Caenorhabditis elegans: one gene and its partner. The protein of the gene in region 2 purifies or fractionates together with the protein of the main gene of each other region. This does not show direct contact. Each region holds a gene or a part of one and is shown on either strand. Other genes may lie near its edges. The genes, in order: pgm-1 and alh-10.

Region 1 (4,559 bases), on a different chromosome or scaffold from region 2:
CACTACAATGTTTCTTCGATCATCTCTTTAAAAAAACCGAACTTTAATATTTCTGCAGGTTCTGCCAAAATGATTCCAAAAGAAGCCTGGAATTTTTGATTTTTTTTTTGCATTGCAAAGTTTTTTAAATTTCTGCAGTATCTGCCAAAATCCCCAATAATAAATATATATTTGAATTGTTATATTTTCGATTTTTTTCAGTAGAAAATCGAATTGAATTTATTTAATAATGTGGAAAAATCGAATAAAATTGTAAAATGGGTTACTGTACTGCTTAAAGGCACACCTTAATCTTTATGTGAGGATATTTTGTTCGTGGCGGGATACCACTTAAAAACTGAAGCATTTCGCTACATTGTAATTAATCAACTTTTTAAACTGAGGATTTCATTCTAAAATGCAACTTTTGAACTTACTATTTTTAATTTCTGCCCACTGCTCTTTAGAAATACGCTCATCAATAAATTCTTGGCCGGCAAAAGCGAAAACTTGACGAGCGATTTCTCCATTTCCACGAGATTGAAAATAAATTAGTTTATAGGAAACCATTTTTCAGAATAAAATGAAGAATTCGTCACAATCTGGCGCTTTTGAACCCTTCGCTCTCAGTGTCTGCGTTTCTCATTTCTCACTAAATCGACATCAGAAAACCACAAACATCAACTTTTTTTTCCAAAAACCAACATTGATGTATTTCACAATATTCTCATAAGTTTTCAAATTTTCATTCAACTTTTCGTTTACGTGCAACATAAAATTATATAAACCGAGGAAAATCTACACATAATTATTTAGCTAAACTCATGCAATATATAAATCATTTTTAAATACTAAAATTATGTGATAACAGTTGGAGCCTTGCGATTAGTGAACTGCTCCATTTTGCAAGTATCAAGTGCAATCAACACCAATGGTTTGAGCAATTCGTGAGCTGGAAGTAGAAGGCGAGAAGTGTCATTTGAAGGAATGTACGAATCAACGTAGAGACGGATGGTAGCACCGGCAGATCCTGTTCCAGAGAGTCGGAATACCAATCGAGATCCATCTTCGAAGACAATTCGGAGTCCTTGTTTGGTTGCAACTGAACCATCCACTGGATCAGTATATTGGAAATTGTCAGCGACAGCAACCTGGAAATAGTATTTTTTAGAAAAAATAAATCTTTTCGAACTTTCTCTCACCTTATATGTAACCCCATTTGCCGAGAAATCTCTTCCAACAAATGCTGGCAATTGAGCTTCAAGGAAAGTCATCAACAAGTTGGCACCAGCTGCATCCACATTCTCATAGTCGTAACGAGTGAACACATTTCTTCCATATTTCTGCCAATGCTTCGTCACAATTTCCTCGACGGATTCTTTTCGGTCTGCGAGAATTTGAAGCCATGCAAGAAGTGCCCAAACGCCATCCTTCTCACGAATGTGATCAGATCCAGTTCCGAATGATTCTTCTCCACAAATAGCAATTCTTCCAGCATCCATAAGATTTCCAAAGTACTTCCAACCGGTCGGTGTCTCATACACTTGAAGTCCCTTTGCCTTGGCAACCAAATCAACAGCTCCAGCAGTTGGCATTGAACGAGCAAAACCAGCAACCTTACGAGTCTTGAAATATGGAATATAATCAATGTTATCAGCAATAACAGCTAAAGAATCACTGGGGCAAACGAAGAAGCCATTCTTTCCAAGAATCATATTACGATCACCATCTCCATCAAATGCAGCTCCTAAATCGTGTTCTCCGGTGTGGAGGCGTTCAACAAGAGTTTTTGCGTAGGTGAGATTTGGATCTGGATGACCTCCACCGAAATCTGGCTTTGGAACAGTTCTCAAAAGATCAGAAGGATCAGCTCCAAGATGATCGACAAGAATTGTAGAGATGTATGGTCCAGTTGCTCCGTGCATCGAATCAAGTAAAACTCTGAGTTTGCGTCCAGTAAGTTCACCAGCGAGAAGGGATTTGATTTTTGGGAAATCAAAGATTTTCTGCATGAGGTTGATGTATTCGGTAACTGAATCAATGACGTCAACGACAAAGTGACCAACTCCCTCAATATCATATTCATATCTGAAAATTAATGTACATCAATGTAATCAAAATATTGATGTGTTTACCTTCCAACTTGTGTAAAATCGCATTCTAAATCCTTGGCAATCAAGTATTTATCGATTTTAGTTGTGATCTGATAAATGGCATCAGTGACTTGATCTGGAGCAGGTCCACCATTTTCGCAGTTGAATTTGATTCCAAAATCTCCCTTTGGACCTCCTGGATTGTGACTAGCAGTGAGAATTATTCCTCCATCAACAACACGACCTTCGTGTCCTTTTCTGATAAGATTCGAGAGAGCTGGCGTCGACAAGAAACCGTTTTGACCGACGATAAGACGGGAAAGCTGAAAAACTCAAATTTATAAAAAAATTACTAAAATTTCTCAATATTTCTTACCCCATTGGCTGCTGCAATTTTAATAATCACATTTGTGGCTTCCATCGAAAGAAACCGTCCATCTCCACCAACAACCAACTGAGAACCCTTCTTTTTCGATCCAAGACCAGCATCCAAAATTGCTTGAACAAAGTTTTCCGTGTAATTCTGCTGCTGGAATTCCGGAACCCGTTTGCGAAGACCAGATGTTCCGGGTTTCTGTCCTGCGAATGGTTTTGTGGGGGTTTCAACGACGGCGATTCCCATTTTAGGCTGAAAATAAATATTATAGATCAGAAAATAAAATGGACTGACTATGAGAAAAGAGAAAATAGTAAACAGAAAATGATCGCTTCGTATCTTATCACGAAAGTCAAGTGGTTGGTCAATGTTCAGTGATAGTAAACATAGAAAAATGAATAACTTTAGAAATGGGCCGACCTAAAATGTGCTCGAACTCTTCTGGGATAACTTTTGACCTCAAATGCAACTTTTAAATGGGGTTTTTAAAGTCCAGGTAGACAGACATGTTAAGAACACGAAGAATTTATTTATCTTCTGGTGGGTGGGCAGGAATAGTTCAGATTTCGCAGCGAAAAAAGAAAAGAAATGCCAGCTGCAGTTGTTGGCGCCAAAGGAGAGCACCCACACAAACAGAGAGTTCAGAGAAATAGAGAGCAACAAAATACGTGTAGAAATGGAACAACTGCTGCTGTTCATCAAAAAAGATAAAGAAAAATGAAAAGAAATCAATGAGCGAAAAAAAATTTATCTTCTTTATACTCTCTTTCGAAAATTCGAGACGCCCCCTATTGCTTATCAAGGTTTTCATCGCTACAAACTATTGAATATATTGTGTCGAACACAAAAACAACGAAATTTCGGGAAAAAGAACGATACAAATGGTGAATACCGCGCGCGCATTTCGAGTAATTTGTTTTTTTCAAACAAAATTTCAATAATGGTATGCGGTAATTAAAATCGCTGCGATACTGACAAACACTTTTTTCCTTCTGTGCCTTTAAACCGACCGTAATTAATAAAAAACTTTTTTTTGATAGTAACCGAATGAAATTTGGAGAAAATATTGATAAGTATTTAAGAAAAACTCAACTTTTTATTGAAACAAAATGACTCGCTTTTTGTTTTTTAAACGAATTCCGATTGTAGGTTAAGGTAGTTAAAATCGTTGCGGAGCACACGAAAACTTATTCATGCTGCGCCTTTAATTCTACCGTGGTTAATGTTTCACTTTAATGAAATTTTTCAAAAAACCAAAAACAGTTTTTTACCCAAAAATTATATGAATAAAAGAATCTAAATTATTTATAAAAACAAAGTGACGCTCTCACTAAAAATAAAACAACGGACTTTGTGCTGTTTTTGTTTTGTGCTGGAAGAATCACTGAAGAATAAAACATGTTTAAAAAACACAAATGTTTCTAATGTAACATTTTATAACAAAACTTCAAAGTAATATTTCCAAAAATCATATGAATCATCGCCAAGATGTTTGAAATTGATCGAAATATGATTTTGTAACGTCTTCAAATACAGTAATCGGGTTCACCTGACGGTCATCGCGTCTCTTATTCAAACAATGGATTTTCCCCTGAAAATATATAATGAAAATCTGAAAAATTGATAAAAACCTACAGAAAATGGCATATCTCTAGTTTTCCGTAAATGTAAAACGCAAACGGAAGGAATTAGAATTGCACCAAGTGCCAAATTAATATCAAAAAGTGAAATCATAACTTGACCCGAATATGTTTTTGAACCCAGATATACTCTAGGAACTACAATAAATATAATAACAAAAAATATGAGAAAAACCAACATGGAGCTCATAACTTGCAGATATTTAATAATTTTCACATTTTCTTCAACTTGAAACTTCTTGCTCAATGTATAATTTACATTTTTCATTTTCCGAAGATTCTCAGCTTTCCATGATAATCTCTTGGATTCTTGTACATTATAATAGTAAAGGCACATTAAAACCTAAAAAATGAAGAAATTATTTTGAAAAATGGGCATTGTGCTTCTTACAATGTTTGAGAAAACTGCCCATAGTGATGCGAATAGAATAATATACAACAAAGAAGCTTCAACTGAAAATAACTATTTTT
Region 2 (5,820 bases):
CGAAGCTGTTCAGTATGATATTGAACAATTAATGGAAGAACTCACAGATTCAAATGAAAACCTGCAGTATTACAAGAAACAAGCCGAAGACGATAAGCAAATGGCTACTGAAGCGGTCCGCAAGGCAACTCTTGCCAAGAATTCTGCCATCGAAGCAAATGCTACCATTCTCGCTGAGGAAGATGAAATCAAGAAAATCATCAATTCTTTGGGTAAGAACACTATTTAGCTCAGTCAATTATTTAATGTCACTCATATTTCAGATACCATGGAAGAAGTGAACAACGCGGAGCTAGATGAGCTCGAGGAGGAAATTGACAGACTTGATCAATTGTTGGCTCAGGCACAACTTGCCAAGGAAGTTCCCACGTATCAGCAATACCGCGCTGACGAGGACGTAAAGGTGGCACAGCTCAAAAATGATATTTCTGAGCTCCAGAAGGAGGTTTGTTTTGCTGGCTATAGTATTCGTATAATTAAACTGTATTTTTCAGGTTTTGAACCTAGAGGAAATCCGTGACAACTTGCCAACCAAATGCTTCAATGTCATCAATTTGGAGCAAGAGGGACAGAAATAAGATAATCTTTATAATTTTTCTATCAAACTTTTTCTATGAAAATCGATCAGATAATTTATTAACTCTAATATTAAAATATCTGAAAAAGAGCCCTTAAAAATTATTAGGTCGGCAAATAATTATTGACGTGTTTTGCCAATTAACGATTTTTTGTAAATTTTATATGTGTCTCTTACAGTAAACCGAGAGTGTATAAAAGCATATGAATATCAGTTGCTTTGGTCATCTGAGTAGTAATACGATTCGAAAAAATCGAAAAGTTTTTTTTCCAATTTTTTGAGTTAGCCGTGAGAGTTGTAATGTTAATATCTAAATCAATTAAGTTCTGTTTGCTTAATGCAAAAAATGAATCCCAACCCAATTGAGCCATTCCATAAACTTAATAGTAAATCAAAGTCAAAAAGCAAACCGCACAAAAATACGATATTTTTTAGTTTTGATTAATTCTTGGAAATATTTTCTTCACAGCTAACTCAAAAAATCGCGAAAAGCATTTTTCAAAAAATTTTTGATTTTTTAGATTCTTAATACTACGCAGGTAGCCAAAGTAGCTGATATTTTTATGTTTTCATACATTCACATTTTACTATAAGACACACATACAAAATTTACAAAAATTGTTAATTGACAAAATACGTCAATAATTATTTGTCTACCTAATAAAATACGTTTAAATTGCTGATCGACTTCTATTATTAATTTACGTGTTGAGCCGGGATAATTATTTTTGTTCCCATAACTAATAATTTCCTCTTCCTGTCGCCTTATTGTCACATTACCCTCACCTTCCCCGGTGCCCAAACGCGTGCACAGCTTGATGAAATTTTGCAAAATTTTGTTAAGCATCTTCTGTTTTTTTGTCTTCTTTCCTATTATTTTGTGATAATGTTGAACTGTTCAACTATTCTAAATTATCACGCTAAACTATTTCCTTTATCAACGATTCTCTATTTAAAAAATATACCAAATTCATTTTTGTTATCCGAAATCTCATACCAAATTTTGCCACCAACACATCGATTTCCCCAACGCTTTCAGTTTCTTATTTGTTTTAATTAATATTTTTATAAACGTTCAATTTTAAAATTTTTTATGAAATTACGAAATACAGTTTAAGTTTTCAGAATATTTTCCAGACTACAAATATGACAACAATGTTATCTTTGTAGGCACACCATGGACAAACCATGCATCATAAGGTTTTTGCATTGCATACTGACCTTGAATAGATACTCGGTGTTGTTCGTGCCGATCGATGAGAACTATATAAGAGATGATGATATTGCAGAGATAGGAGAACATACCGAACAATTCTATTCATTCTACCAAAAACACAAGGTTCAAAATTGACTCAAAATGGCTTCTTTGAATTATCGCGAGGAGTTCAAAAATATTCTTCAAAAGCTTATCGATTCCCCCAATGAACAACACGACCCATTGACAAATTTTATTGGAAATGAATTTGCAAGATCGGAGAAATTAATGGACTCAGTTAATCCTTCGACTGGAAAACCTTGGATCAAAATACCAGACGGGACTGCGAGAGAAGTAGATCAAGCGGTTGAAGCCGCTAAAGAAGCGTTCAAAACGTAAGTTTTTGTGTTTAAATAAACCAAATATTGCTCAATTCTTAAAGCAGTGCAAAATAAATTATTTGAAACTATACCATTTTAACAACTAACAATTTTTCCCGGCTAAAAATTAATAGATCCATCGACCTTAAAATACCTACATAAATCTAGTTGAAAACACATGATAATTAACTTGTATACCCAAAATTAGACAGCGATTTTATAACAATTTGTTTCCAGCCTCTGCGACAATGCCACGTAGGTCGAATTTTAAATATTTACAAACTTTATGTCATTTTCTAAGCCGCCATAACTTTATTTTGAGAAGATTTGTAGAAGTTTAATGACTAAATTTGGTGTTTTCATAAAATTTTAAGTCTACTACAGCAATACAAAATTCTACTGCATCACCTTTAATTGTATGTGTATTTGTTAGTTTTTTACAAATTATATTCAAAACTGGAAATTTAAAATCAGATTTTCAAAGTTTTAATTGTCAGGTTTAGTTTTTATAAATATTTTTGAAGTTTGTACACCAGTTTTATCATGCAAATCTCCAAACTATTTCATGTCGCATTATTATGCAAATTTACGGAGAATCTGTATTGAAACTGTGTCCAACCCAAAAAAATCCTCGAACTACTCAAAAAATTAATTTTCAAATCAAAACATTTTCAGCTGGAAAAAAACAACAGTGCAGCAACGATCAGCACTTCTCAATAAAGTTGCTAATCTCATAGAGGAGTTTAACGATGATATCGCTATTTTGGAGAGCCGTGACCAAGGAAAGCCAATTGGACTGGCTAAGTGAGTGAACCTTTTTTGAAATAATAACTCCAATTCCTGTTTAGAGTGATGGATATTCCTCGTTGTGTGCAAAACTTTAGAGATTTTGCAAATGCTGCTCTTTACTCCCTATCAACTTCAACCATTCTCGAGCAACCTACAGGAAAATTTGTTAACTATGTGAAAAATGACCCTGTAGGTGTTGCTGGTCTTATTAGCCCATGGAACCTTCCCCTTTACTTGGTAAAATCGAACTTCGAAAAATATTTTTTACAACTGTTTTTAGCTTTCGTTCAAATTGGCTCCCGCATTGGTGGCTGGAAACACAGTAGTTTGTAAACCAAGTGAGATGACTAGTGTTACTGCATGGGTTTTAATGCATGCATTCAAACTAGTTGGATTTCCTCCTGGTGTCGTAAATATGGTGATTGGCGAAGGAAAAAGTGCTGGACAACGATTGGTTGATCATGTCGATGTTCCACTCATTAGTTTCACTGGGAGCACGGTAATAGGAAAGAAAATCCAAGAAGATGGTGCGAAGCTCAATAAAAAAGTGTCTCTGGAGATGGGAGGGAAGAATCCTGGAATAGTTTACTCTAATTACCGAAAGTCGGATATTGCTTCAATTGCAAGGTATTTGAAATTGTAACTGTTCTGTCTACTCTGCCCATCATGTGTAGATACCTAGTTTGAAATTTGAAAAAAACACAACTTTTTGTGCAAACACTGTGGTTCAAAGTAAGGATAATATGTTTATTAAAACTGATAAAACTAATTCTCGTCACGATGACAGTTGACGTAATTTGATGTTACCAAATCATCCTTTTTTATCTATACAAAATTTGTAACATAATGATATCACTTCCAAATAGGCACAAATTTGTAACTAGATAATGTTATAGGTCCTCATTTCTCAACCAAGGAGAAATTTGTCTCTGCACAAGTCGGCTTTTTGTGCAAAAACCAATTTTTGCTGACTTCGTTAAAAGTTATGTAGAAGAAGCTAAGAAGGTTTGCATTACATTTTTCAGTTCATTAATTCTAATTTTAGTTTACTGTGGGAGATCCAACTACTCAAGTTCAAATCGGAGCCATGAATTCAAAAGTGCACTACGAGAAAGTGAAAAGCTACATTGAGCTTGCCAAAAAAGAAGGCGCCGATATTCTTTGTGGAGGCGTGACGACCATTCAAAATGGGTGTGAGAATGTGAGTCAGATGTTATTAGTTAACCTTGCTAATCTTTGAAATTTTAGGGCTATTTTATTACACCTACAGTAATTGTTGGTTTGCATGACGCTTCGAAAGTTATGACAGATGAAATATTTGGTCCAGTTGTGTGCATCACGCCCTTCGACACAGCGGAGGTATGTTATGATGTTACAAGTTTTAAAGTATTTTCTGATAACACAGGAAGTAATTGAACGCGCAAACTCCACTCCCTATGGCTTGTCAGCAACAGTTTGGAGTTCAGATAGTGATGAATTGTTAAACACGGCCAACGAGCTGAGAGCCGGAACAGTTTGGTGCAACACTTGGCTGGTAAGATAATGGGAGATGATAATTCGAGTTGGGTGTGACCAAGTTCTAGTTAATTACGGACGATAAGAGCGGTATGTGTGGGTAGACAGACAACATGACGATTGACCAATTTGTTTTGCTTGGAATGATGTTCATGTAGCTACAGACCAAACTAAATTAATTGTAAATGTACCAAGAATCCATGAAAATCACCAAAAATAAAGAATGCTTTTAAAAAATTTATAGATATTCTGTGCTGCTTAATTGTTTCACTAAGCGTCACTAAAAACTACTTGGAACTTTTCCAATAGTTAATCAACTCTCGGTTTTAAATTATTCTCATGTTGAAAATTCAGGCTCGCGACCTGAGCATGCCGTTTGGTGGATGTAAGCAATCTGGAAATGGAAGAGAAGGTCTCCACGACTCACTCCACTTTTACTCCGATGCAAAAACTGTTTGTGTGAATATTGCTGCTAAGTACTAACTTATCATGAATCGCAACCGTTTATTGTAAAATCCAATTTAGCTCATAATATATAAATATTTTCTTTCGAATCAAAAGTTATTTAGAACAAGATGGACATGGTGGGCATGTGTACGATCCTCCAGTTGGATATGCTCCATTTGGATACTGGCACAGGAACTGATGCTTAACTGTGCACAAATCGGAAAACCATCTTCCTGTTGACAGTTGCATTGCTCCACAATGACGATCTTCAAGAGGCTGTCCAGGTCCGGGATTGGTGAAGTTCAAAACGCTCCCATCTGTCCATCTCCAGTCATTTGTATGTCCTTCGTCGCTTCCACCAATCCAGAACAAGTCATAGTCAGCATCTAGATTATCAACAGCTAGTTCTGAAATCAATGTATTTGGTTTAGAAATTCATATGTTCAAGACATACTTTGAATCCAGTTGTTTTCGATCATGCTGTGAATTGATACCAGACTTCCACCAACGGTTTTCAAGCAATGAGCATCGGAGTCATTGAATGTTCCATGTACTCGATTGTATGAAAAACAACTGAAAGATGTGATATTGAGACAATTTATAACAATAAATAACTTACTAAATCTCAAATGGAGTATCTCCAGGAAGACAATTTGGTGACACAAAACACAAAAGCGCGACAAGAGTAAAGAACAAAACACGAAGCATTTTCAGTGTCCAGTAAAATAATAAATTTTATCTGCTTATCACAGCTATTTATATACTCCATTTTAAGGCGTCTCCGTATTCTTCCCACAATATTATAAGCTTTTATCAGTGCTTTTTGCAGTTAAAATATTTAAAAAAATTAAACTCATAGATGAGACTGGAATGTTCATCTGTCTGTGTTATCATCGTTTGATGACTGATTTTGATAA

What was found.
Region 1: the proteins of alh-10 (region 2) and pgm-1 fractionate together in Caenorhabditis elegans (co-fractionation; one large-scale study listed by BioGRID). This does not show direct contact.

The regions. Positions count from the first base shown.
Region 1 is NC_003280.10:4,887,578-4,892,136, reverse strand, and holds pgm-1 (phosphoglucomutase (alpha-D-glucose-1,6-bisphosphate-dependent)), read right to left. Parts: upstream 2,701-4,559; 5' UTR 2,695-2,700; coding exon 2,449-2,694; intron 2,396-2,448; coding exon 2,115-2,395; intron 2,068-2,114; coding exon 1,182-2,067; intron 1,131-1,181; coding exon 837-1,130; 3' UTR 710-836; downstream 1-709. Other genes in the region: gst-9 (putative glutathione S-transferase 9), read right to left, coding at 417-549; R05F9.7 (Serpentine Receptor, class E (Epsilon)), read right to left, coding at 3,926-4,039, 4,084-4,431, 4,480-4,541.
Region 2 is NC_003284.9:7,139,692-7,145,511, reverse strand, and holds alh-10 (Aldehyde dehydrogenase domain-containing protein), read left to right. Parts: upstream 1-1,870; 5' UTR 1,871-1,934; coding exon 1,935-2,167; intron 2,168-2,827; coding exon 2,828-2,956; intron 2,957-3,000; coding exon 3,001-3,178; intron 3,179-3,221; coding exon 3,222-3,568; intron 3,569-3,837; coding exon 3,838-3,946; intron 3,947-3,986; coding exon 3,987-4,142; intron 4,143-4,189; coding exon 4,190-4,300; intron 4,301-4,346; coding exon 4,347-4,475; intron 4,476-4,810; coding exon 4,811-4,939; 3' UTR 4,940-5,008; downstream 5,009-5,820. Other genes in the region: Laminin-like protein lam-2, read left to right, coding at 1-212, 264-445, 495-578; clec-86 (C-type lectin domain-containing protein), read right to left, coding at 5,018-5,310, 5,358-5,476, 5,523-5,611.